2 linked regions of the Ovis aries genome follow. The protein of the gene in region 1 purifies or fractionates together with the protein of each later gene. This does not show direct contact. Links are inferred from orthologs where the notes say so. Each region holds a gene or a part of one and is shown in the gene's direction. Other genes may lie near its edges. The genes, in order: GLS and SIRT5.

Region 1 (12,878 bases):
CAAAGACTAATCGAGTTTTGCCAAGAAAATGCACTAGTCATAGCAAACACCCTCTTCCAACAACACAAGAGAAGACTCTACACATGAACATCACCAGATGGTCAACACTGAAATCAGATTGATTATATTCTTTGCAGCCAAAGATGGAGAAGCTCTATACAGTCAGCAAAAACAAGACCGGGAGCTGACTGTGGCTCAGATCATGAACTCCTTATTGACAAATTCAGGTTTAAATTGAAAAAAGTAGGGAAAACCACTAGACCATTCAGGTATGAGTGACCTAAATCAAATCCCTTATTATACAGTGGAAGTGAGAAATAGATTTAAGGGACTAGACCTGATAGACAGAGTGCCTGATGAACTATGGAAGGAGGTTTGTGACATTGTACAGGAGACAGGGATCAAGACCATCCTCATAGAAAAGAAATGCAAAAAAAGCAAAATGGCGCCTGGAGAGGGCTTACAAATAGCTGTGAAGAAAAGTGAAAAGCAAAGGAGAGAAGGAAAGATATAAGCATCTGAATGCAGAGTTCCAAAGAATAGCAAGGAGAGATAAGAAAGCCTTCCTCAGCAATCAATGCAAAGAAAGAGAGGGAAAGAATAGAATGGGAAAGACGAGAGATCTCTTCAAGAAAATTAGAGATACCAAAGAAACATTTCAGGCAAAGATGGGCTCAATAAAGGACAGAAATTTTTGGTAGTCTCCTCATTTATTGGTTCATTTATATATAACTCTCAGCCCTGAAAATTAGGCATTTTAACAGCTTGTGGGTAGAAACAGGCACCCTAATTCATATATCCTATGCTCTGGCTACTTGCTGTTCTTTGTAAATACCTAGTGAATGTTTACTTTCATTGCTGTGGTCATTCTGTTTCCTTTGCTGATAGTCCTCTTCTGTTGCCATATTTCCAGCTCCTACCCATCTTTTAAGTCTAGCTCAAATTCCATCCTCCCCCGAAACTACCTTATTAGTTCATAGTGAATAATTTTCCAGTGATTGGATCCCATTGTTTGTTTCTTGTAATTCCTCATTATGTATGTCTTCTCCTACCTTTTTAGATTGTAAGTAGGGACTAGTATAATGCTGTACATGTTATAAATGCCAGTTAAATACATGGGATTTTTCTTTTTTTTTTTTTTTTTAAAGAAATTTCTATGTTTTAGGCAGATATTTTGAGAAGGTAAAGTAGGAGAAGGAAGGGGTAAAAGAAGGAACATAATGATGGTGAAAAGATCTTAAAGGCAAAAATTAGAAAGGACAATAGGGAGAATAAAAGGGAAGAATTTTAAAAGTACAAAACAAGCACTTCTTTGAATTTGCACATCTTCTATGTATACCCATTTTAGTTGTTGAGTGTTATAACTATTTCATGTTGGTGAAAAATCATAAAGGCAAAAGTCAAAAAGGAAATGAGGGAGAATAAAAGGGAAAATTTTTTAAAGTATAAAAGAAGAACTTTTCTTGGAGTTTGAACATCTATGTATACCCATTTTAGTTGCTGAGTGTTGTAACTATTTCATGTTTTTTCCCCCAACAGAATCTGAGGGCTTATCACCAGTTGTTGGTACTATAATTTGAAAACCTGTTCAGTTCAGTTCACTTGCTCAGTCGTGTTCGACTCTGGGCGACCCCATGAATCACAGAACGCCAGGCCTCCCCGCCCATCGTCAACTCCTGGAGTTTACCCATACTCAGGTCCATCAAGTCGGTGATGCCATTCAACCATCTTATCCTCTGTCGTCCCCTTCTCCTGTCCCTAGTCCCTCCCAGCATCAGAGCCTTTTCCAATGAGTCAACTCTTTGCATGAGGTGGCCAAAGTATTGGAGTTTCAGCTTTAGTTAGCATCAGTCCTTCCAATGAACACCCAGGACTGATCTCCTTTAGAATAGACTGGTTGGATCTCCTTGCAGTCCAAGGGACTCTCAAGAGTCTTCTCCAACACCACAGTTCAAAAGCAGCAATTCTTCAGCGCTCAGCTTTCTTCACAGTCCAACTCTCACATCCATACATGACCATTGGAAAAACCATAGCCTTGACTAGATGGACCTTTGTTGGCAAACTAATGTCTCTGCTTTTGAATATGCTATCAAGGTTGGTCATAACTTTCCTTCCAAGGAGTAAGCATCTTTTAATTTCATGGCTGCAGTCACCATCTGCAGTGATTTTGGAGCCCCCCAAAATAAAGTCTGACACTGTTTCCACTGTTTCCCCATCTATTTCCCATGAAGTGATGGGACCAGATGCCATGATCTTCGTTTTTTGAATGTCGAGCTTTAAGCCAACATTTTCACCCTCCTCTTTCATTTTCATCAGGAATCTTTTTAGTTCCTCTTCACTTTCTGTCATAAGGGTGGTATCATCTGCATATCTGAGGTTATTGATATTTCTCCTAGCAATTTAGATTCCAGTATATGCTTATTCCAGTCCAGCATTTCTTATGATGTAATCTGCATATAAATTAAATAAGCAGGGTGACAGTATACGCAGTCTTGGCATACTCCTGTTATGATCTGGTTTTTTTTGGTCATTAAAACTTAAACACTTCTCAAAAATATCCTAGTTACTATATATTCCAAAAACTACAGTTTTTAGCATTTGAGTTTCAGTGGTGAAGTATAATATCATTAAGCAGTGCCACAAAATGGTATTAAATTTGGGGAAAGAAAGTGTTAGTTGCTCAGTTGTGTCTGACACTGTAACCTCATGAACAGTGGCTTACCAGACTTCTCTGTCCTTGCAATTCTTCATGCAGGAATGCTGGAGTGGATAGCCATTCCCTTCTCCAAGGGATTTTCCTGACCCAGGGATTCAACCTGGGTGTCCTGCATTGCAGGCAGGCTCTTTACCATCTGAGCCACCAGGGAATCCTGGGGAAAGAAGTGGCGGGAATATCAGGAAAGGTCTTTGGGGTAATTTATGTGTAGTTGAAAGTTTGGGGAGAACCTTTGCATTTGTTCCCCAGACTATTGAAGTAAATTCATTTTCAGATCAGAGTCTGAGCTTTTAAATGCTCAGATTGGTAGATTTTTTTTAAAATCAATTTTGAACTCTTTTATACATTTATATTTATTATTTATTTTGTGAGCATAGTATTCTAGGGATGACTTAAATCTCTCTCCAATGGATAACAATTACTCTCTTGTCCAAAAGTAAGTAAATATTTAGCCTTTTATGTTAGCTGTGTCTATAAACATGGTCATTTTAAATTCTTTGCCCTATCTACCATAAGCTAAAGAACTGTATATTTTATGTTACTTACATAGCTTTTAGGCAAAGCAAATACCATTTACTGGTGTTGTAAATACATGGAAAGCTTATTCTGCAGTTTTTTAAAGTGATAACTACCACTATCTGAAGTTTACTTAACAAGCCATTTTCTGTAAATAATTGGTATGTTATTTTCCACTGATTGTTTTTGACAGCTGGCTCAATTTTTCTTTAAATATTAAGTCATCAGTACTGTTGAATGCTGCTTAATGGTTTTAGATCAGGATTGAAGATCTAGAAAAATCATACCTTATAACAGTAATTACTAGCTAGTAGGTTTGAGAGCCAGCAAAACTGTAGAGGCATATATTTTGGACTCTGAATTCAGAGGAACAAGGTTTCTAAATATATCTCTACCACTGTGCAGTCTTGGAAAGTTTGTTGACCAGTCTGAGCCTCTGAGAAATGGGGACAGAGTCAGCCTGGTTTTTTTTTTTTTTTTTTTGGTCAAACAGTAAATATATTGAGCATCCACTCTGTACCAGGAACCATACTTCATTTTGCATAATAGTATTTTTTGTCATCATTGTAGGGATTGAACTAGAACGCATGTAAAATAGCTAATCAGAATACTTAACAAAAGTTATCCATAATTTTTAACTCTTATAATTAAAATATCCCAAATATATTTTAAAAATTTCTCTTAAGAGCCAAGATTGTTTTAAGGAGTAATTATATATCCAGGATATATGTTTAAATTACAATAATCCTATATGTTATTTTTTTTAAAACATTGGCATGAAATTCTTGTACTTTAGGGTTGACTTGAAAAACAAGAAGCTGGTATGATAGCTTTGAAAACAGTATAAGTGACATTAATGCCAACATTAGTGTTTCTTTGAGGAGAATTTTATATGTGCATGTGTAAATGTACATACACTGTGAGCCGACGCTGTATTCTGTTGTCTTTTAAAATAGAAATATATGGACCACTCTCTAATTTTCTGTTTCTTGAAATAAAGGTAAAGCCCTTTCCAGACATTTTATATACACATACATACAAATACATGCATATATTTGTACCTTTGATTTTAAAAAATAGTGATGGGTGGGGAGGGGATTGGTCTACCCTAGATCTATAATTCTTATCACTATAATACATATGACAGTCATGAATGTTCAGAATATTAAGCTGTGTTCATTTCAGTTTCAGAGCTCCCCAAAAGAAAATATTTATAGGTTCATTATAGTTTTATCTCAAAACTTTGCAATGAATAGGAAAAAATTTTTTCTCGATTAATTTGGTTAATCATAGCATCTTATACCCGGAGAAGGCAATGGCACCCCACTGCAGTACTCTTGCCTGGAAAATCCCATGGACAGAGGAGCCTGGTAGGCTGCAGTCCATGGGGTCGCTAAGAGTTGAACACGACTGAGCGACTTCATTTTCACTTTTCACTTTCATGCATTGGAGAAGGAAATGGCAACCCACTCCACAGTGTTCTTGCTTGAAGAATCCCAGGGATGGTGGACCCTGATGGGCTGCCGTCTACGAGGTCGCACACAGTCGGACACAACTGAAGCAACGCAGCAGCAGCATCTTATACCAGTTTATTAGTTAATTAAGGTTTAAATATATTTTTTATGGTAACATTTATTCTAACAGTCTTTATGATTTGTGGCATTTGATGTGTATATGTAAGCCTAGGTCACTTTAGAAATAGTCACTACAACTATTGACAATTGAGTACTTTCTGCCAAGCAGGGCACTGAGGGTATTGAATGTGTTAAGTCAACTCACATCTCTCTTTCTCAGATGAGGAAACTGAATCACAGAAAAGTTAGTTTACCCAAGGTGACTTGACTAGTAAATATTATAGCTTGAGAACTTGTACACTAAGCTTTTCTTAATTACTCTGTTCCACAGATTTTACAATCAGGTTAATTATTTGAACTATATCTTTATATAACTGTTTATAACAAATATATGACTATAATATATGTGTTATATTCAAGGATTCCCTCAAAGCTCAGTCAGTAATAAATCTGCCTGCAATGCAAGAGACCTGGGTTCACTTCCTGGGTCTGGAAGATTCCTGGAGAAGGAAATGACAAACCAGTGTTCTTGCCTGGCAAATCCCATAAACAGAGGAGCCTGGCAGGCTTTAGTACATAGAGTTGCAAAAAATCAGACACAATTTAGCAACTAAACCATAACCATGTTTTACATATGTATGCTGCTGCTGCTAAGTCTCTTCAGTTGTGTCTGACTCTGTGCGACCCCATGGAATCCCGTCCCTGGGATTCTCCAGGCAAAAACACTGGAGTGGGTTGCCAGTTCCTTCTCCAGTGCATGAAAGTGAAAAAGTGAAGTCACTCAATCGTGTCCGACTGTTCGCGACCCCGTGAACTGCAGCCTGCCAGGCTCCTCCATCCATGGGATTTTCCAGGCAAGAGTACTGGAGTGAGTCACCATTGCCTTCTCCGTTACATATGTATAATCATCCTATAAAAAAACAATGATAACAATGAAATATTGACTCTTACCTGAACATTTTCTAGGCTGTATTGGGTGATTGTATATTAGGCTGTACAGGAAGAAATCACCATAACAGATGATTTAGGATTACAAAATATCTGTGTAAATTAATGAACATGTTTTAAACGTGCTTCTCAATGTGGTTTCAGTAATATTGTTTGATTTTGGTAAATCGGCATTTATTGGTATGATAGTAGGTCTTGAGGAATCGATCAACTGTAATCGGCTTCATTGATTATTTTTAAATGGATGTAGCTAAAATCTACTTGAAAGTTCACATAAGAGTTAATTTTGTGTTTTTTTTTTTCCTCTTTAGTAAAATAAAACAGGGTCTGTTACCTAGTTTGGAAGATTTGCTGTTCTATACAATTGCAGAAGGACAAGAGAAAATACCTGTTCATAAATTTATTACAGTAAGTTTTTACATTTTTCTATCCTAACTGTTAAAAATCAGTAATATGAATCAATATATGGTGATATTGCTATGGAGTTTTAAAGTCATCTGACATGTAGATTCTGACTGACACTATTTCTCTTATTTTCAAATTTTCATCATGCTCATTTCAAGGTAATCAATGAAAGGAAATGAAAGAAACAATGAAAAACTTTTCCAGAAAGAGGGTAATAGTGACACTAAAATGCCATATATATATGTATTCAGGTCTTGGGTAGAAGTTTTTAAATACAGGAATTAAAAACTTGTAGTTGGAATAAGCATATACATTATTTGCACTATGTATTTACAGACTCTTATTTTTTTAAAAACAGGCACTCAAATCTACAGGATTGCGAACGTCTGATCCCAGGTTGAAAGAGTGTATGGATATGTTAAGATTAACTCTTCAAACAACATCAGATGGTGTCATGCTAGACAAAGATCTTTTTAAAAAGTAAAAATTTCTGCCAAACCATTAATGGTCATTTGCTGTGCTATGTGGTGTTTTTTTCTTTTAGAACAAAATTGCATCTTTGAAAGCCAGTGCTTCCTGTGTAATTGAAAAAAGAGGGGAGGGCATTGATGAACATCAGTTGCTTAGAACAACTTTGTGCACATTAAAGTTCTGTAATATACTGGGGCTAAGAGTATACCTTGAAACTGTTCTGAGGAAATGTAGCCATGGATGTTTTCAATTAATAATACCTGGAGATTGCATTCAGTTTGAATGGAACACACTCTGTCCTGTTTAAATTGATCTCTAATTCATCTGCATATCTTGCAGCCTTTCTCAGCATGGTCTCTGTTTCTTTTCTACAAGTTGATTTAGATGACATCATAAAATGGGAAGGCAGCCTGCATTCATTAGGTTTACATGTCTCCATTGTCTGCTTTTCTCTTGCAGCAAACATAGGCTTACTGCATAGGCTTTTTTTTTTTTTTTTTCAGAATATCTAAAAACTTAATGCTAACTTTGGACATTAATGCCTTGATTTGCTTGAATGAGAATATTTTTATTTTCCTATATTTGCCAATCTTTACTTTCTTTAATGTGTTCCTACTAGTTTGATTGCTTAATAATTTGATAGACAAGTTTGTCATGGAACCCAAGGAAGTATATGGTATTTTACAACTGAACTTGAGTGAGAACTAAAATAAAACTGTAAACACTACTGTTAAACCTTGGCTTTTTCCTGACTATAAGCTTAGGTTGAAAAGAATTCCAGCATCTACCTTGAAAGTTTATTTGTATGTATGTATTTTTATATATTTTTTATTTTATTGTCTTTTGGGGGCTAGATGATTTGTTCTAGATATCTGCTGAAGTATCCTAGAATATTAAGTCATCTGAAGGTATAAGTATTTAACTGAGATCCTTCCAAGTGTCTTGGCATACCATGAAGCAGTGAGTGCTGCCAATTTTAGATCTCCGTCTTTTCACCACATGGTTCTTGATGCTATTAACTCTGCTGACCTTATAAAATGTAGATTTTAGGTTCATGTTGGAATTGATGTTAGGAATTTTGGGTCTTCTGAACCTGTTCTTTGTAAAGGGAAGGAAATAATTTCTAGTTAGCTGTATTTTTGCAGTAAGATTATTTTATTTTTAGTGATCATGAACTCTGTGCAGAGTGCCTTCTGGGGAGTTATTTCGGTATATCTGAAAATAAAGTTGTCAGACTTGATTCAAAGACATGGTATATAGGTATATTGATTGTGGGTATGAGGAATTGCTTTGAATTCCTACATGAAAGCAGTATTTTATATCTTTTCAGTACTGGTTAAGGTTTTTTTGTGCTTCATAAACATACTATTGTGTTTAAATATGAAATTTGAAAAACTAATTTAAATACACTGAGCAACCAGAAAAGCATAAAATTTTCTACTGTATTAAAAATAACAATTAGCGTTATTTTAAACACTAATCCAATTTAAAAAAAAAAAACCTGATGATTGTAATATAGGCAGTTCCCAACTTGACAGATGCTTAGTAGTCTATGTGAGCAGGCAGTGGAAAAGTTTATGTCTATAGGCATATGATTTCTCTTTTTGTTCCTAGAATGAGATTCAAAACCTCTGACCGCTAACCTTTTCAGGTCACCTGGGAAGGTGATTGCTTCAGAGAAGTATTTTCTCTGTTTTCAAAATAAGTTTTCTAGTTAGTGTTGCCAGAAATAAACTATCTCAGTTTCATGCAACTGGAAAAGCAGATGTTACAATGGAATTCATTTTCCCAGAGAAGTTATTTATAAAGAAAGATGAAAAGGTTTGGTTGAAGTCAATGTGTTGACATTTTACCTAAAATACCTTGTTAGTATATATATTCAGCCTTTGAGGGTAATCTGAGAAGCATGTAGAATTTTTCTTTAAATGGGAAAATAAGTTCTATGCATACTTTTTGGGGCATAGTCTGTTTGAAAGTTGGAGACTGCCTATACCTATCTAGATACTCGATTGATTTTAATGCTAATAGTCTTAGTAGAAGTAGAAAATTTGTGTTGAAAAGGAATACTTTATTTATTCATATATTTTTAGCCATGTAAGTATTAGAAGTATTATCATGTGTGATCATAATTTTTTTATCATCTTGTTTTGGAGAAAATGAGTGATAGTCTTTGTATTTATTTGATTTTTCTTTGAAAATTCTTATCCACTATGTTATTTTACTAATGAGAAATTATATTTGAAATATTCTATAAAACAGATGTGCATAACAGTTGTTAATCATAAACATTTAAGTTAAAATGGAAAGTAAAATTATTTTTACCAGTTTAGGATGAGAAAACTGAACAAAGAAAGCATGAGAAAGATGTCACTTGTTGAAAATCATAAAACACTTACTCTTCATTCTACTTTATATGACTTCTGATTTTCTAGTTAGATTCATGACATCCATATTAAAATAACTCCCAAGAAAAAATTACAGATTAGAATGCTCCTCATCATGCAGCTAGACACTCTTCTGAGTGATATTGCCTTGACTGGCCACAGTAATTCACCAATGAAGGCTGTTAGCACGGCTTTACCAGCACCTTCTCATAGAGTAAAAAAAAAAAAAAAATCCAAGTTTCACTGACGGTACAGTTTTTGTATAAAACCTCCTTTTAAAAATGCTGATTGATTTTGAATAGGTAAATAGTAGTAAGGTTAATAGTTTTTGTTTGACAGTCCTTATATTTTCTCATGCAACAGTTCTTGAAAGAAGGAGGATGTAGATTTTACTTGATACAGAATAGCCATTTAAGATCAGGAATTATCAAGTTTTTTCTTCTAAGAAATGTCTTTCTTATATATTACTTGTAACTCTCATGTGCAAGTTGAATTACTGTTTGATGCATATTAAATATTAAGTCAGTGACAAAACTCAATATTAGGTAACATTGAAACTATCATAAAATTTTTTGGTTTATTGAAGTAAATATTATCTCTTAGATGTCAGTTATTTCTACATGTATAGATTAATAATGGAAATTAGGATTATAACTTTTTCATGTTGTAATTAAAGCATGTGTTTATCACTGAAAATAACCTATTTTATTTTAAATCAGTGTTTAATTTTATGTTGATCAAGTGAGTATATATTCTGGATTTTTGTCGATAGTTAAAATGTGATATCTGGCTTTTAATTCTAATTTGCTATTTCATTTAGAACATCTGAATTCAGATACTGAGATAAAAACTTATCATTTACCATGGACTGAAAAATTGAGAGTGTCTATTTTCCAGCTCTCCTTTTATAGTTAGTGCATGTATTTACTTGCAGGTTACACAGAGTTTTCTTATCTGTAAAATGGGGAAATTACCTTCTTAAAGGGTTCATCTTTTGAGGGTTAAACAGGATAAATAGTACTTGAAGCTTAGTACTTTTTAGTCTGTTACAGGCTTAGTCTTAGTTGGTATAACGGCTTGATGCTCAAGTCTACAGTGTCTTCCTTTATCGATTAACTGTTCTATTTTTGAGCTTCTGAGACTCACTTAAGATGAGCTTAGAGTATATGGTTGCTATTAACCTATTTATAAAACTCTTCTTTAGGGTTATATTAATAAATTGATTTTCTAGCTTAAACTCTTTTAAAACAAGGCAGAATATTGATTCAAATTATTAGATTTCATGCTTTGCCATCCACATGGTTTACCATATCATTTAAATAGTTTTTAACAGTGAAACATTTTTATTCTACAGTGTGTTACACATCTTAACAGTGCATAGAATAATGTAAATATTTTTGGTGATTCAAGTAATATAAAATTATTATACTATTATACATATTTTTTAAAGTTAAACATTATTTTTGCAAGCATTTAAATAAGTATTTTATGTTAGAGACAAATCTGACTAAACAAAGTTTTTAGCTTAGAAATGCAACATTTTCATAATTAATTTATAGAAAATATGTTAAAATACGGAATGTTTAGTTTTTCGTGAAGTTTTTTCTTAAGGGACATAGGTCTGAGGTTATTTCATGGAAAAAATAAAAAGGATCTCAGCTATATATTAAAGTCTGATTTTTGTTAACCAGATGTCATGCTGAATGTTTATCATATCTGGTAGGTGAAAAAGTCTTGTTTTTAGATGGTCTTAGTACTTAACCTGGTGGAATGCTCTGTTGTTTTAGTCTTTGATGCAGTTTTTAGGCTATCTAATTTATTTCTTTAATTTGTTCAACAGCTTACAAGCAGCTACATGAAAGGGTGCTTGGAGGAAAGAAAATAATGTACAAAGAGTATAATTTCTAGAATTTGTTTAAAATGTTGAATTTCTTTATTGTTTGAGTATTTTCCTAATATTGTTATTATTAGCAAGTACTAATTTTTTCTTATATTCCACAGATGTGTTCAAAGCAACATTGTTTTGTTGACACAAGCCTTTAGAAGAAAGTTTGTCATTCCTGACTTTATGTCTTTTACTTCACATATCGATGAATTATATGAGAGTGCTAAAAAGCAGTCTGGAGGAAAGGTAATGTTTTTGACGTGAATATTTTCCTAAACCAATAATTGAATAAATTTAGCTAAACTTGAGGTGTAGAGACTAAAATTACGTGGTTTTGTGTTTTGCTAAGTAAGAAATTTAAGTGAAGCCACTGGATTAAGTTCTTTTAGAGTAACAGAAGTAAACAGAAGTTTAAATTGCTCAGTTTGTCTGACTCTTAGCAATCCAATGGACTGTAGCCCGCCAGGCTCCTCTGTCCATGGGATTCTCAGGCAAGAATACTGGAGTGGGTAGCCATTTCCTTCTCCAGGGGATCTTCTGACTCAGGGATTGAACCAAGTCTCCTGAATTGCAGGCAGATTCTTTACTGTCTGAACCACCAGGGAAGCTTAGTGCTTTTGTATTTTTTTTTTAAGTGCTTTTAAAATGTTTCAAATATTATGGTTGTTATTTTCATTAAAAAGAAATATTTTTGATTTTCAAACAATTAAGGTGACCCTTTATATTTTTAATTAATTAAAAAATAACTTCCTGGGAATTTCTGTAGGTATGATATCCTCAAATGTTAAATAAAATGTTTACAGTTTTTAAAATCCTCTGCATAATATAAGGGCTATTTTATTTATTCTCGATATTGAAAGTTTTTAGATTATGAAACCCTATTATCATGACCCTGATTAAATAAATTTTGTTTTTTTCCCCTTTAAAAAAAAAATTAATTCGTAGTTCCTCTTAGACTGTGTTTTTTTCTAGGAAGAGAGAATGCAATAGAAAACAGATGGTGACAGAGACTCTGAGAGGTCACTTAGATCTCACTTGTAATCCTCAAGTCTGTTATGCTCTTAGTTTTTATGAATATTGTTATAAAAGATACACTACAAAGCCACTGAGTACTATAAAATGTTCATTAGTGGAAGCTAAATTAAGATAAATTTTTTTGATAGAAAAGAATATTTTATATTTTATCTGTTGATTTCTTTCCACTGTTTTGGATAGGTTGCAGATTATATTCCTCAACTAGCTAAGTTCAGCCCTGATTTGTGGGGTGTATCCGTTTGTACAGTAGATGGACAGAGGTAAGTTTATTTCAGATTCGTCAAAACCAGCTCTAAAACTTAAATTTGCTCACTACATAACAATGAGCATGAGGTAGAGAGGAGTATCTTCTCTAATAGTAATTAGCCCTCTTGAGATGACATGAATTCAAGAAGGCAGAGAAGTTTAAATTTTAGTTTAATTTTTAAAACTCAATTGAAATAATACTTTTTACTATATTTTATGAGGCATTTCAGCTACATTATTCACAGTTGTAGTCTTTTTATTTGAATGTTTATTGTTTAAGGAACTACAGTTACAGATTTGCTTAGGAAAAATAGATTTGGCAAAATATGAAATTACTCACTAATGAACTGACCACTAGTAGAATTAGTTCACCTTTCTTCACTTAACATTGGTTACGCATACTGTCATCATTTTTGTTCCTCTTGCTGCTTATATGATTAGCATGGTAGTTAAGACAATATAATGTAATGTATGGTCTTTTGCCCATCAGTCATTTGCAAAAGATACAGGATTTCATGAAGCCTATGAAATTTGATTTTCAGGATATAATCACACTGCAGGTATAATCACTGACATCTAAGGATCCAGCAGAATTTTAAAAAGGATAAAAATATGAGGGCACCTCAGAGAGAATAATTTGATTTTAAAAGTCAGTCAAGAGAGGCCCTTGGAAAAATGAACAAAGTTCTGAAATATTT
Region 2 (12,878 bases), on another chromosome or scaffold:
CAAGGTGGAGCGGGCTGGTGACTAGATAAGAGCCAGCGGTGAACTGGGGAGAGGAAGTGAGTCTCCCAGTGTTGATAGCTGGGGCCTGGTACTTCACATTTGTTTGACTCATAGGTGTTCAAAAAGTATTTATTGAACACCCTTGGGAGTTTTTGTAGTTCCCTCTCGATGTACTTTAATGTTTTGTAAATGCTTTTTCTCTCGAATTCCTCATATAACCTTACATTTGTTGTATTATTGTATTTTTAAGAATTGGGGTGCCCCCTTTCTCAACAGGGAACATAGAGACATTTTTCTGATTTTCTAACTGGGTAGGTGAGTTCCAGGTTTCCCAAAAAAGCCTGGTTAAGTGCGGATTGCCATTCACCGAGACTAATGTCAGTGTTTGAGAACCTATCCTGCACTCAGAAAGCTCCCAATGACTGGGATGAATGAGTTTATTTTCTTCCCTGAGGCCTTGCCACCTGAAAGTCAAATCAGGGCCAGATAATTGGAGGCTTTACCCAGGGCAGTTTTCACCCTGAGGGCTTTTGGACCAGACAAACTGATGTCTTCCTCCTCTGACTCAGCACAGTGGGGGCCTTCTTACCCTCCCGATATTTGCTTTGGCGTTTGAATTGGGTTGAGTTTGTGGCAGCTAGAACTACTGTCCATTCTGATCCCCCAGAAAAGCACATAAATATTGACACAGAGGATTCTTCTGATGAATACTTTGCAGTAGCATCTTGAAAATGTTTCTCAGGTGGCACAGTGGTAAAGAATCCGCCTGCCAATGCGGGAGACGCTGGCTGTATCCCTGGGTTGGGAAGATCGCCTGGAGAAGGAAATGGCAGCCTCTTGCAGTACTCTTGGCTGGAGAATTCCATGGACAGAGGAGCCCGGCTGGCTATAGTCCACGGGGTTGCAACTGAGCGACTAAACAGCAACAACAAAGCATATTGAAAATAGACTTCTGTTCTGAGTATTTACAAATCGTGGAGATAAATTTCAGGTGGCACTGTTCTAAAACAGTGTTTATTTAAAAAAATTTTTTTAAAGTTTTTTTTTTTTAAACCTTTACTTTGTTTTCACATTTATTGAGAGACTTGGAGAATATCTTGTAAATTAATGGAAAATTTAGCAAAACAGTTCCCACATTCATTAAAAAAAACTCATGTTTTTTTTGTCTTGTAAATGTTTTTTATTTAACATTACAGTTTCGACTTTTATCTAATTTCCAGTTGACGATCAGCAGCAGTCTGAAATACTCCAGCTTTTTAGTACCTTTTTAAGTTTTAACTATGAAACTAAAACTTACTGTTTTAGTTAAACTAAACTTGTAGTTTTTAACTACAAGGCTGAATAGTATTTCCCTGGATGAAATACATCCAGTGATGAACTATATCTGTTAATGGATGAACCACAGTTTTTATTTATCCATTCATAAGTTGATAGGCCTTTGACCTGCTATTATCTGATAGGCCTGTTGAACGTAACTAATTTCACAGGACACCAACATCAAACAAGGCTACACTGTAATCATGATGAATCAGGACAAAATAAGACTTCATAATTAGGTCTGACGTGAAGTTGCTCAGTCGTGTCCAACTCTTTGTGACCCCATGGACACCAGGCTCCTCCGTCCATGGGATTTTCTAGGCAAGAGTACTGGAGTGGGTTGCCATTTCCTTCTCCAGGGAACTTCCTGACCCAGGGATTGAACCCAGGTCTCCCACATTGTAGACAGACGCTTTCCGTCTAAATAAGAACTTTCTCTAAACCACGAAAATGATAAGACACCCTCCTATCCTGGCTAATAGGAGGGCCTGTTGCCTCTTGACCAATCCCAGCTCAAGCTTTACTTCACTCCCTCCTCTTTAGATCATGTTCCTTGAAATATCCAATAAAAGGAAACTTTTCCCAGACAACATCCAGTGTAGATCAGAGCCTCCTTCCATGACTCTCCCTGCTGCTGCTGCTAAGTCGCTTCAGTCGTGTCCAACTCTGTGGGACCCCACAGACGGCAGCCCGCCAGGCTCCTCCATCCCTGGGATTCTCCAGGCAAGAACGCTGGAGTGGGTTGCCATTTCCTTCTCCAACCCAACACAAGCCCAAATCCTGTTCTGAGTCCTAACTTCATCAAGACAGGCTTCCCTGGTGACTCACTGGTAAAGAATCTGCCTGCAATGCAGGAGATTCAGGTTCAATCCCTACGTTGGAAAGATCCGCTGGAGGAGGAAATGGCAACCCACTCTAGTATTCTTGCCAGGAAGTCCCATGGAGAGAGGGGCCTGGCGGACTACAGTCCATGGGGTTGCAAGAGACACACTACTTATCAACTAAGCCACCACCACCAAAGTCACCAATATGTCACCAGTATGCCTGCAGCCCCTCACCGTGAGCTTCTCCCTCCTTGCACTTGCTCAGCTACAGATGTGTCCCTAGACTTTTGCCGGAGAGCACTCACAATGCATAGAAACACATCTGCTGAAAATCCTTGCTTCCACTCTCATCTCCATACGTTCTGATTCTCATCCTCATTCTTGTTACTAATGTCTTGGGACCATTTTTTTTTTTTTTAAACACATGCAAATAAGTACTCTTTGCACTCTAGAATGTCATACAGGAAGAATCATACATGCATTCTTTGTTTACAGCAACCATGCTGTGTATTGTGAATGTGTCCTTGTTTATTGAACTCGTCCCCTGCAGATGGTCATGTAGGTTGTTCTAGACTCTTCCAAACAACAACTCTGTAGATACGTCACGTTGAAGGTGTGTGAGTCTCACTGTTGTAAAAATGTCCAGACGGGATTGCTAGGTCAAAGGGCAAGTGGATTTGTAATTTTGGTAAGTTGTCCTCCAAAGGGATTGTAAAATGTTGGGAAATGTGTTCTTTTTCTATTTTTCCTGTACCTACAAAACGTTAATCCTGAGTTCTTCCAACAATTTGCGTTCTTCCACTAGGTAAAAGTCAGATATGTCAGCTACCCTTTTGATGTCATGGATGTGAATATTGCCTTTCTCTGTGTCTTTGTCTTTCTCCGTTATCCCTGTCTAACTCCTCAGGGATAGATAAAGATTTAGTCAGTGTGCTTTAAGGCTCACAGATTTCTTTGACATGATCTCATCTTAATCCCATTTGTTGTTACGGTACATATCTTTCCGGCCTCGTTCAGTTCTCAGTTAGAATTTACATCCTCATAGAAACTGTATTTTGACTCAAAGTCAAGCCAATGGCTCTCATACCTTTTTAAAAAAGTATCAGAACCTGTTTTTCAAATGAATTTTCCCATCTAACTCCTTCCTAAACCTCTAAGGCTGTGGTTCTCAAACTTGAGTGTTCATCAAAATCACCTGGAGCCAGATGGGGGCCCTGCCTGAAGAGTTCCTGGTTCAGTGGGTCTGGAGTGGAGCCTATGACTTTACATTTCTGATGAGATCTCGGGATGATGCTGGTCTGGGAACCATACTTTGTAAACCACTCTACTAGGCACCTCAGAGCACTTAAGAGTCAGTCAGTCAATCAGTTCAGTCGCTCATTCATGTCCGACTCTTTGCAACCCCATGAATCGCAGCATGCGAGGCCTCCCTGTCCATCACCAACTCCCGGAATTCACTCAAACTCATGTCCATCCATGACTGGACTGCAGCCCACCAGTCTCCTCTGTCCATGGGGATTCTCCAGGCAAGAATACTGGAGTGGGTTGCTATGCCCTCCTCTAGGGGATCTTCCGGACCCAGGGATTGAACCCACACCTCTTTATAGCTCCCGAATTGGCAGGCCTGTTCTTTACCACTAGTGCTACCTGGGAAGCCCATATGGGTGTGTGTGTGTGTGTGTGTGTGTGTGTGTGTGTGTGTGTGTGTGTGTATTTGTAGAAATATGAACGTTTTCTGATTGTTTCTGTTTGTTTTGTGATTTTTCTAAAGTCCATCTCAATTGTTAGCGCAACACAGAAAACCTGATGCCACCTCTCTGGATCGTCCCGAACCGATTGTTTTCCCAGCTGTACTGTGGACTGAAGTCTCCAATCTCCACACAAACCAAGATTTGCCTAACAATGGCTCGTCCAAGTTCAAGTAGGTCTTTCATACACGGTGCCATCACCTCCCTCTGCAGCCCACTCCCTTCCTTCTCTCCATCACTGCTTTCATGTCTGAGGGGCGCTTGATTGGTCCAAGAGTTAGTTAGCCTTGGTCGCCACTGCCTCCTGGGGAGACCAGAGAGCCCGCTCCGTCAACTGAGGAGCCTGCTTCTGGTCTTGCTCAAACCTTCAGTGCCTTAGCACCGATTGGCTACACTTGGAAGGTGGCCTGTGCCCAGCAGACCCTGACTGGGTGGCCTGGGCCAGCCAGAGGCAATGTGGGTCCACACTGGCTTCTCCCGGCGTGGGCATGGAGGGGGCTCCCACAGCTTGTGAACCACTCAGGCCCGGCCAGCTGGGACACAACCTTTCCTTATCCCGCGCGCGAGGGCTGCAGAGCTGCAGCGCCCAGGACAGTGGGAGCCACAGGCGGTGCCAGGACCGAGTCTCCGCTGCAGGAGAGACAACGGCAGTTCCCATTCTGGCTCTTGATCCTTATCCTGGGATGATGATATTTGGCTCAGGCCACCTTGTGATGCCCAAGTGCTCGGTGCAGAGCCTGGACACAGGAAGCCCTCACGGAAGGCGAGCTGCTGCCCCCGTGGGTCTGAGCTTGGGCAGGAGGATGCCTGGAGATGGAGGGCCAGCCCTTGTGTCCTGGGGCACACGCTGCGGGCTGTGACCACGACTCCCTGCTGCCGAGTCATTCTGTGCGTTCAGTCCCTTTCCGTTACCCCAGGTCTCCGGGGCCGTCTTGTGAAAAAGACCAAGTCTCCCTGGAGCTGTAGAGGAGAGTGTGTCCAGAGTGGGATGGAGCATTTGTTCACGGGGAGGGGCCCTCGTCCTCACCGTGGTAGTGATGCTGAGGGAAACTGGAATTAGCAGGATCCTCCAAGGGAAGTGAATTTGGGGAGGAAGGGACGGCCTTTGGGGTCCAGTGGGCCTGAGGTCAGCCCTCATACCACACAAGCTTGCTTTTACTTTTAAGAAGGAAGATACATTCCCACTCGTGTGTGTGTGTATGTGTGCACGTGCGCGCTCGTGTGTGTGTGTGTGTGTGTGTGTGTGTGTGCGCTTAGTCAGTTTCGACTCTGCGACCCCATGGACTGTAGCCTGCCAGGCTCCTCTGTCCATGGGATTTCCCAGCCAAGAAGACTGGAGCAGGCTGCCATTTCCTTCTCCAGGGGATCTTCCCGACCCAGGGGTTGAACCCACGCCTCTTGCGTCTCCTGCATGGCAGGCAGGTTCTCTACCTCTGCGCCAGCTGGGAAGCCTTTTTTAATCCTCCCAGCAGCCCCGCTCTCTCAGGAAAGCACGCTTGTGCACATGAAACAGCTAAGGAGACCCAGACAGCAGAGGGTCAGCAGTTCACATAGGATCCCACTCGTGGGAGATGGTGGGGGTGGGGAGTGGGCAGATTGGGGCTCAGAGCTCGGGCTGTTCACCCCAGACCCCCGCCCCTTTCTGCAGACATCGTACTCTCACACATAAGGTGCATAGGGCCATCTTCATCGCATGGGAAGATTTTTATTTGGTTATCTTAAAAGTATAATTTCATGCAAGGTCAAGTTTCAAAATACAAGCAATTGAACTGGGACGTAAATGTCCAAATGAAACACTGGATTGACCAAGATTTTCCTCTCTTTAGATATGGCTGACTTCCGGAAGTGTTTTGCAAAAGCCAAGCACATAGTCGTCATTTCCGGGGCTGGCATCAGTGCTGAGAGTGGGGTTCCGACGTTCAGAGGAGAGGGAGGTTACTGGAGAAAATGGAAAGCCCAGGTTGGTAATGTTTCCAGAGCTCTGAAAAGCTCTTTCTGAATGAAGCCGTTTAACAGTTCGACTCAGGATCTCTATCAGAGGGGAATGTTTTGAAATTTTCTGTGACCCTTTTAGCCTGTTCTTTTTGGCATTGACACAAAGTCCATAGGGTTATAACCTCAGAAAAGCTGCCTCTTTTCTTTCTTTCTCGGCGTGTATTGATTATCCTTATTCAGATAGCAACTGGATTTCCTCTAGTAACCAAAGTGGAACCGGGAAACTTTGGTTAGCACAATTCATTACTTTTCTATTCATGTTGAAATTAAGAATTACACATTTTTAAAAAGTTCCTGTGAACTTTCCAAATGAAAACCAGTGTTGAGTTGTTAAAGGCTTAGGCCTTGATGCTCAAAACTTTGTACAAAGGTCATTAGAATATAAGTTCTCTGGGGGCATGGAGTTTTTAAAATTCCATTTTTATTGAGATATACATGCAATAAAAATCACCAATTTTGAGTGTACAGTTCAGTGAGTTTTGACAGATGTATATATAGTGGTACAGCTGCCACCACAGTCAAGATGTATAACATTTCTTTTTTTTTTTTACTTTATTTATTTTTATTTATTTATCTTGGCTACGCTGTGCACAGGTGGGATCTTTGTTCCTTCATCAGGGATCAAACCTGTGTCTCCTGCATTGGCAGGTGGATTCTTATCCACTGTACCACCAGGGAAGTTTGGAGGAATCGTACTTTTAAAAATATGTATTTTATATATCCTATTACTATAATATATACAACTTTTTTTTTTTTAATGTGTAGTTGTATGTGTGTGTGGACCTATAAAAACCCGAGTTTTCCTACTATGGCCATTATAGCTCAGTTGGGCGTTTTGCATTTTACTTTTCCTGGATAAATGAGATAGCCATCATGTCACGTGGAGCTCCATGAAAACGTGGCTTCCAGCCTAAGTTACCTTCCCATGTGTTGCTCTATGTTCATAGCTCACCTGAGTAGAAGATGGGACGGGTTACGATCTTGCTGGGGAAATTAAACCTAATTTCTCCAGGGCCCCTCAGGAGCCCCGGGGCCCCGCCCATGTGAACCTTCCCAGGACACCCCCTGGAACTGTGTGCCTGCTGCCCACAGCCAAGGGCACCTGGGAGTGTCCTCCCACCTAAGTCCAATGCCCCCGCGGCCCGGCTTCCAGAGCATCAGCCCTTCTTTCCCCCCTGACTCCTGCCTCCTGCCTGCCCCCCAGGACCTGGCCACGCCGCAGGCCTTCGCCCGGAACCCGTCCCAGGTGTGGGAGTTCTACCACTACCGGCGGGAGGTGGTGCAGAGCAAGGAGCCCAACGCTGGGCACCTGGCCATCGCCGAGTGCCAGGCCCGGCTGCACAGGCAGGGCCGACAGGTGGTGGTCATAACCCAGAACATCGACGAGCTGCACCGCAAGGCTGGCACCAGGAACCTTCTGGAAATCCATGGTGAGAGGCCCTTGGTCTTCATGGGAGGGGAAACCAGACCAGAAAACACATGTGCTGCTGGGGCCCAGCTGGGTCCACCGAGTCAAAGCAGCATGGTGCCAGGACCCCAGGGTCTGGCGTGCAGACTGCCTGGCCTGGAAAAGCCGGTCTGCATCCCTGCATGCTCTCCCCTCCCCGGGGGTCCTGTTGCGGGGGCCCTGTGCTCCCAGGTGGTCCCCACCCCACCCCCACCTGGGCGCTGGGAAGCGGGAGGTTTGGGCCGTTGAACAGCTGGGGCTCTAGCAGGATTCAGGCTGCGAAGGCCTGGCATCCCTGGGAGGTCCATTTACTCTCCCTGCCCTGCCCCTGCACCGTGGGCCCTGTCTGCTCCGGCTGTGTTCCTTCTCCACCCTGGAGCCTTAAGGGGGCTGCCAGCTCAGTGACCTTCCCTCCTGGGAGCCCACTGGGTCTGGTGACACCGAGGAGCTTGTCTGGGGTCCCTCTGGTTTCTCTTCTCTGCTTTCACTGACACCCTCCTCTTCCCTCTTCTCACTGAAAATCTAATGAATTTGTTCACACGAGAGCATAAATGGGTATGCCAGAATTTCTTCCCAAGGGCATTGGATAGTCTGTGACGCTGTGTTGAGCTGCTCAGTCGTGTCCAACTCTTTGCTACCGTTTGGACTGTAGCCCGCCAGGCTCCTCTGTGGGATTTCCCAGGAAAGAATCCTGGAGTGGGTTGCCATTTCCTCCTCTAGAGGACTGTCCTGACCCAGGGACTGAACCTGCATCTCCTGCATTGCAGGTAAATTCTTTACTGCTGAGCCATCCATAGAAGCCCTTTAATAGTCTACGAAAATTCAGTCCAAAGAAATGCATTTCAAATTGCAGAATTTCCAGAAGCAGTGACCCAGTGGGGCTCCACGCTCCCTTCCTCCAGCGTAACCATCTCCTCAGAAGATAAATCTCTGGATGGCCTGACCCTCATTATCCTTTTTGGCCAAACACTACTGCTGGAGGGACAGGATGCCACAATTAGACCAGTCTGGAACTTGTGCCCCAGCTTGTATTTGGGGAATGTGACTGACAGCTCCATCAGCTTGGCATGGGACAGAGGAGGGGGTTGGTTTCTCAAAGGAGGAGGCCTGGAGAGAATGGACCAGCGTGTGTCCCCTGCTGTGTGACCTGCTCAACGCTGACTATGTAGCGAACTGAGGTCACCTTCTATGGGTTAACTCAGTAAGTCTTTGCCAGTTTTAATGATTATTTTCTTCATTTGTTATTTGATTATTTATTGAGCTGCTTTTGTAGAAAAGATTCAAGCTTTACTAAGTCAATATTAAGATTTTGTAAAACATATCCCAAGCTACTGAGCCTACATCAGGCGTATTCTCAGAAAATCCTGCCCTTAGGCTTAGGTTGTCTTCTTCTACCCCGTTGCACATTTGGATTCCACCTGAACACCTGGGTGATCAGAGAGCTCCTTGGTCACGCAGTAACTTACTTCCTGTCCCTCTCTCCTTTCCTGATTACGAAGTCCAGGAGGGCATGTGTTCTGGCTTTTTCCATCTCACTACATGCCCTGAGGTTTCCCATGAGAGCTGGGATGGGTGCACTTGTTAAAGTGATGCATAGAAACTAAATCATTTTGTACTCTTTTAGACGTGGAGTCTGTTGCTCCCGATCATACTAAATTCCGGTCTTGTTCAACTTGGGTTTTTCAGGCAGCTTATTTAAGACTCGATGCACCTCTTGTGGAGTTGTGGCTGAGAACTATAAGAGTCCAATTTGTCCGGCTTTATCGGGAAAAGGGTGAGTATTCTGCACTCTGGAATAGGTGTGTGCTGTTTTGCCTCTTCAGTTGACTATAAACATGAAGAAATTGAACATTCGTCTATGACTCCCATGGATATTTATGAGACAAAGCTAGAGACAGTGCAGCTATATTGTAAGGGAAATATTTTGCTCATAGGTTACGGTAAGTGAAAATAACAGGCTCTAACTCTATACATTATTATCCCAGCTTTGTATTTAAACACACATCCACCCTCACCATGTTAACGTATCTGTATGTAGATAAACGTCCAGAAGAAAATCAACAACATATTAACAGGGACAGCAGGATTATGGCAATTTTGATTTACATCTTTCTGAACCTTCCAACATGTCTATGATGAACATTTACTATTGTAAACAGTATAATTGGGGGAAAAATTAAGAGTAGACTCAAAATATTGAGGAAAATTCTACCTAGCCATTGGTATAAGTTGTACAAGTAACTTATTAATATAATATCATTGCAGATGATTGAAATCGCAGTGACATATATGATGCAAATCATGAAACTCTCCTTAGCACAACAGTACTACACCCCCTCTCCCGTACATATTCCCTCGCTTGAGGTAGAACCACTGATAATCAATTGTTTGTGTCTACCCTCCTCATCCTCTTGTAAGCCAGTGTGTATTCATCAGAGGTTTTGTGCCATAGATGGCCAGGCAAAGAGACAATCTTTCTGGGTTATCTTATTTCTTTGTTCTTTGATTACATCAGTAACATTCTTCCTTTTCTAATATTATTTACTTCAGGGCTCCAGACCCCCAAACTCAAGATGCCGGAATTCCAGTGGAGAAACTGCCCCGGTGAGTAAAAAGACTTTGATCTGTGTTTGAAAAAAAAAAAAGAAAATTAGTAGGAGTCCAAATCTAAGTTCACTTGGAGATGCCTCTGAAAGATGCCAATGCAGAAACCAGCCCTGACCCATGAGGTCAAGGGTGAAAGGACAAAGGGTGAACCAAACCAGGCTTAAGAGAAGTACATCTGTCCTGTCCCTTTCTCCTCTGTGTTGTGGTGGGATCATTTGAGGTCTGGAACGTCTCAGAAGCCGCTGGTTGTAGACGTTCACCCTGCGTGTGTGAAGCGTGGCTGGCATCCCGGACCTAACTGGTCAGGAAGCCTCAGCTACTGTCCTCCTCCCCGTCTCCTCCTCATCAGTGTCACTAATCCAGGGCTATGGAGGCCGTAAGAGGTCTCACAGAGGTAAAGTTATGGGTCCGAGCAGAATTTGTGCAGATTAACAATAGCAAAAAAACTTGGAAAGATTTTTATGTCAGTGTTTCAAAACTTGACCTTAAAATGGCCTTTCCCAAAGCGTTTCATAGGGCAGTAGATCCGTGTGACGTTGGTAGGCACTACTCGGAGAAAAAAGATGTCACATGCCCAGATGAATATGGAACCACGAGAGTGAACCAAGTTTGAAGCATCTTGCTTCGCTGCAGAGCTACTCAGAGCACTGAATGTGTGAAAGTACCTTGTTACTCCCTAATGAGCAATTACACTTACATTTCCCTGGTTTACTGAACCTTTTGAATTTTTCTTAATAAGGATTTTCATTACTAAAATCAGAGTTTTGACCTAAAAGAGTAAGTTTTCATGACTAAATTCTAAAGTTTTGATCTAAAATAAACTTGATGAGGCAATTAATATGATGAAAATGGAGTTTGAGGGAGATTATTTTAGAATGTACATAAATACGTTGACTAGAGATGACCTAGGTTAGTAGCTCGTGAAAGATGAGAGATTTTGGGAAATTGACACAGGAGAACTTGGCTACCAACAAGGCAAGAGAGAGGTGAATTTGAGAGAAGATGAGGGAAGTCATTGATGACATTAGCAAGTGGTTTGTGTGTTGAAGGCAAATCTGAGTCCAGTAGTCCTCCTGGGTCCAGCTAACCGTGAGCACGGCTGTGCCTGAGTGGAAGGAAGTAGCTGGGAAAGAGAAAGCTATTTAGAAAAAGAAGGTCAAGGTTGGCTGAGACACATTCGCCAGCAAATCACCCCAGTGCATCCGGACACAATAGAGGCTACGATTTCTGCCGATCCACCTAGGCAGGCCTTCCCAAGAGTAGGTCTTGGGAGTGGGTTAAGGATGTCACTCTTACAGGTGTGAAGAGGCAGGATGCGGGGGCCTGCTGCGACCTCACGTGGTGTGGTTTGGAGAAAACCTGGACCCTGCCATTCTGGAGGAGGTGGACAAAGAGCTGGCCCTCTGTGACCTGTGTCTAGTGGTAAGTCACAGCCTTCCCTGATCTTTTCAAAGAGCAGAAACAACTAAAACTAATTTGGGTGATGATCAGATCATTTCTTTGCCACTCTTGCCACAAGCCCAAGCTCTCTTTTTCATACCAGGTAACTGGTGGTAAAGAACCTGCCTGCCAAGGCAGGAGACATGGGTTTGATCCCTGGGTCTGGAAGATCCCCTGAGAAGGAAATGGCAACCCACTCCAGTGTTCTTGCTGGGAAATTCCATGGACAAGGGGAGACAGGAGGGCTGCAGTCCATGGGGTTCTAAACAGTCAGACATGACTTGGTGTCTAAACATGAAAAAAATCCTTCCTAAATTCTAGGGATCAGCCAAAGGGGAGCCTCCCCATCCCCTCTTGTCCCCCAGACATTCTCCATTTATCCCGCCTAGCTTACCTTCCCTCACACCAGCAGCCGCAGACTGCAGGTTTTCTGCAAAGACGCTGCTTCTCCACCGTGTGGTCACTAGTGCACTTCCGTTTGTCTGCTCTGCAGGTCGGGACTTCCTCCGTGGTCTATCCCGCGGCCATGTTTGCCCCTCAGGTGTCAGCCCGTGGCGTGCCGGTGGCCGAATTCAACACGGAAACCACCCCGGCCACCAACAGATTCAGGTACGGGGTCACCGGGGTGGGAGGTGGACAGCGCTGAGCAGGTTTGGACGTGATCATCCAAGCAGATCTTACCTGCTGTCCTGGTTTTGTAACACAGAGTTCGTGTTTTCTTATTTGGTCTGTAGTTGCTTTGATGGAAGAAAACAACGTGCTATTTGTAGACTGAGGGAAGAAAGCATTAACTGTAGATTGAGGCAGCCATGTCTTTTTACAGGGAGTTTGCTGTAGGGTTTTTGTTTTCCACATTTTGAAAGTTCTTCTTTGACGCTTTAGACTTTACTTTTATTCATGCGTTGAAGCTAAGTATAGTAATGGCTTTTCGATGCCGGTCAGCTGAAGACTCAGCATGTAAGCCAGGGAGACACCCACATACAACTCCATCACCCACTGTTCTCCGTGGGGCTCCCTGGGCAAATTCCTCTCTGGTCTTATTGCCAAGAATGCTTGTACTTGTGGCCATTTAATGATATCGATCCTGCCCCCCCAAATCTGTGTGGAAAGTATAGATTATTGTAGGATATTCACATGTCTCAGTCTAGGCTCCAGTTTACATCTCCTTTGTTTTGCTTTCTTTTTTTTCACCCCTGCTTTTCTGTCTTCCCTTTTAATGTACTTTATATATTCTTAAGAGTCTAATTTCCTTTCCAGAGTTAGGTAGACTATGAACTAATACATCAATATGAATAAGTAAAATGTAAAACGTTACTGAAGCATCTTGTCAATATTTTAGTCGGTGACTTTTATCTCAACTACGTATTTTTAAAAATGATGACTGGGAACTTCCCTGGTGATCCAGAGGTTAAGATTTGGCCTTCCAGTGCAGCGGGTGTGGGTTCCACCCCTGGTCGGGGAGCTAAGATCACACATGCCTCTTAGCCATAAAACCAGAAC

What was found.
Region 2: the proteins of GLS (region 1) and SIRT5 purify together in Homo sapiens (affinity purification with western blotting; 3 studies listed by BioGRID and IntAct, with this or other methods). This does not show direct contact. The link is inferred for Ovis aries from reciprocal best matches to the Homo sapiens genes GLS and SIRT5.

Annotation. Positions count from the first base shown.
Region 1 is NC_056055.1:193,135,024-193,147,901, forward strand, and holds part of GLS (glutaminase kidney isoform, mitochondrial), read left to right. Parts: intron 1-6,065; coding exon 6,066-6,162; intron 6,163-6,517; coding exon 6,518-6,639; intron 6,640-11,015; coding exon 11,016-11,145; intron 11,146-12,114; coding exon 12,115-12,194; intron 12,195-12,878. UniProt on the Homo sapiens protein: Catalyzes the first reaction in the primary pathway for the renal catabolism of glutamine. Plays a role in maintaining acid-base homeostasis. Regulates the levels of the neurotransmitter glutamate, the main excitatory neurotransmitter in the brain.
Region 2 is NC_056073.1:42,238,979-42,251,856, reverse strand, and holds part of SIRT5 (NAD-dependent protein deacylase sirtuin-5, mitochondrial), read left to right. Parts: exon of another isoform or gene 1-56; intron 57-3,912; 5' UTR 3,913-3,947; coding exon 3,948-4,062; intron 4,063-5,715; coding exon 5,716-5,849; intron 5,850-7,088; coding exon 7,089-7,314; exon of another isoform or gene 7,315-8,098; intron 8,099-8,184; exon of another isoform or gene 8,185-9,017; coding exon 9,018-9,105; exon of another isoform or gene 9,106-9,881; coding exon 9,882-9,935; exon of another isoform or gene 9,936-9,955; intron 9,956-11,236; coding exon 11,237-11,360; intron 11,361-11,772; exon of another isoform or gene 11,773-11,871; coding exon 11,872-11,987; intron 11,988-12,878. UniProt on the Homo sapiens protein: NAD-dependent lysine demalonylase, desuccinylase and deglutarylase that specifically removes malonyl, succinyl and glutaryl groups on target proteins.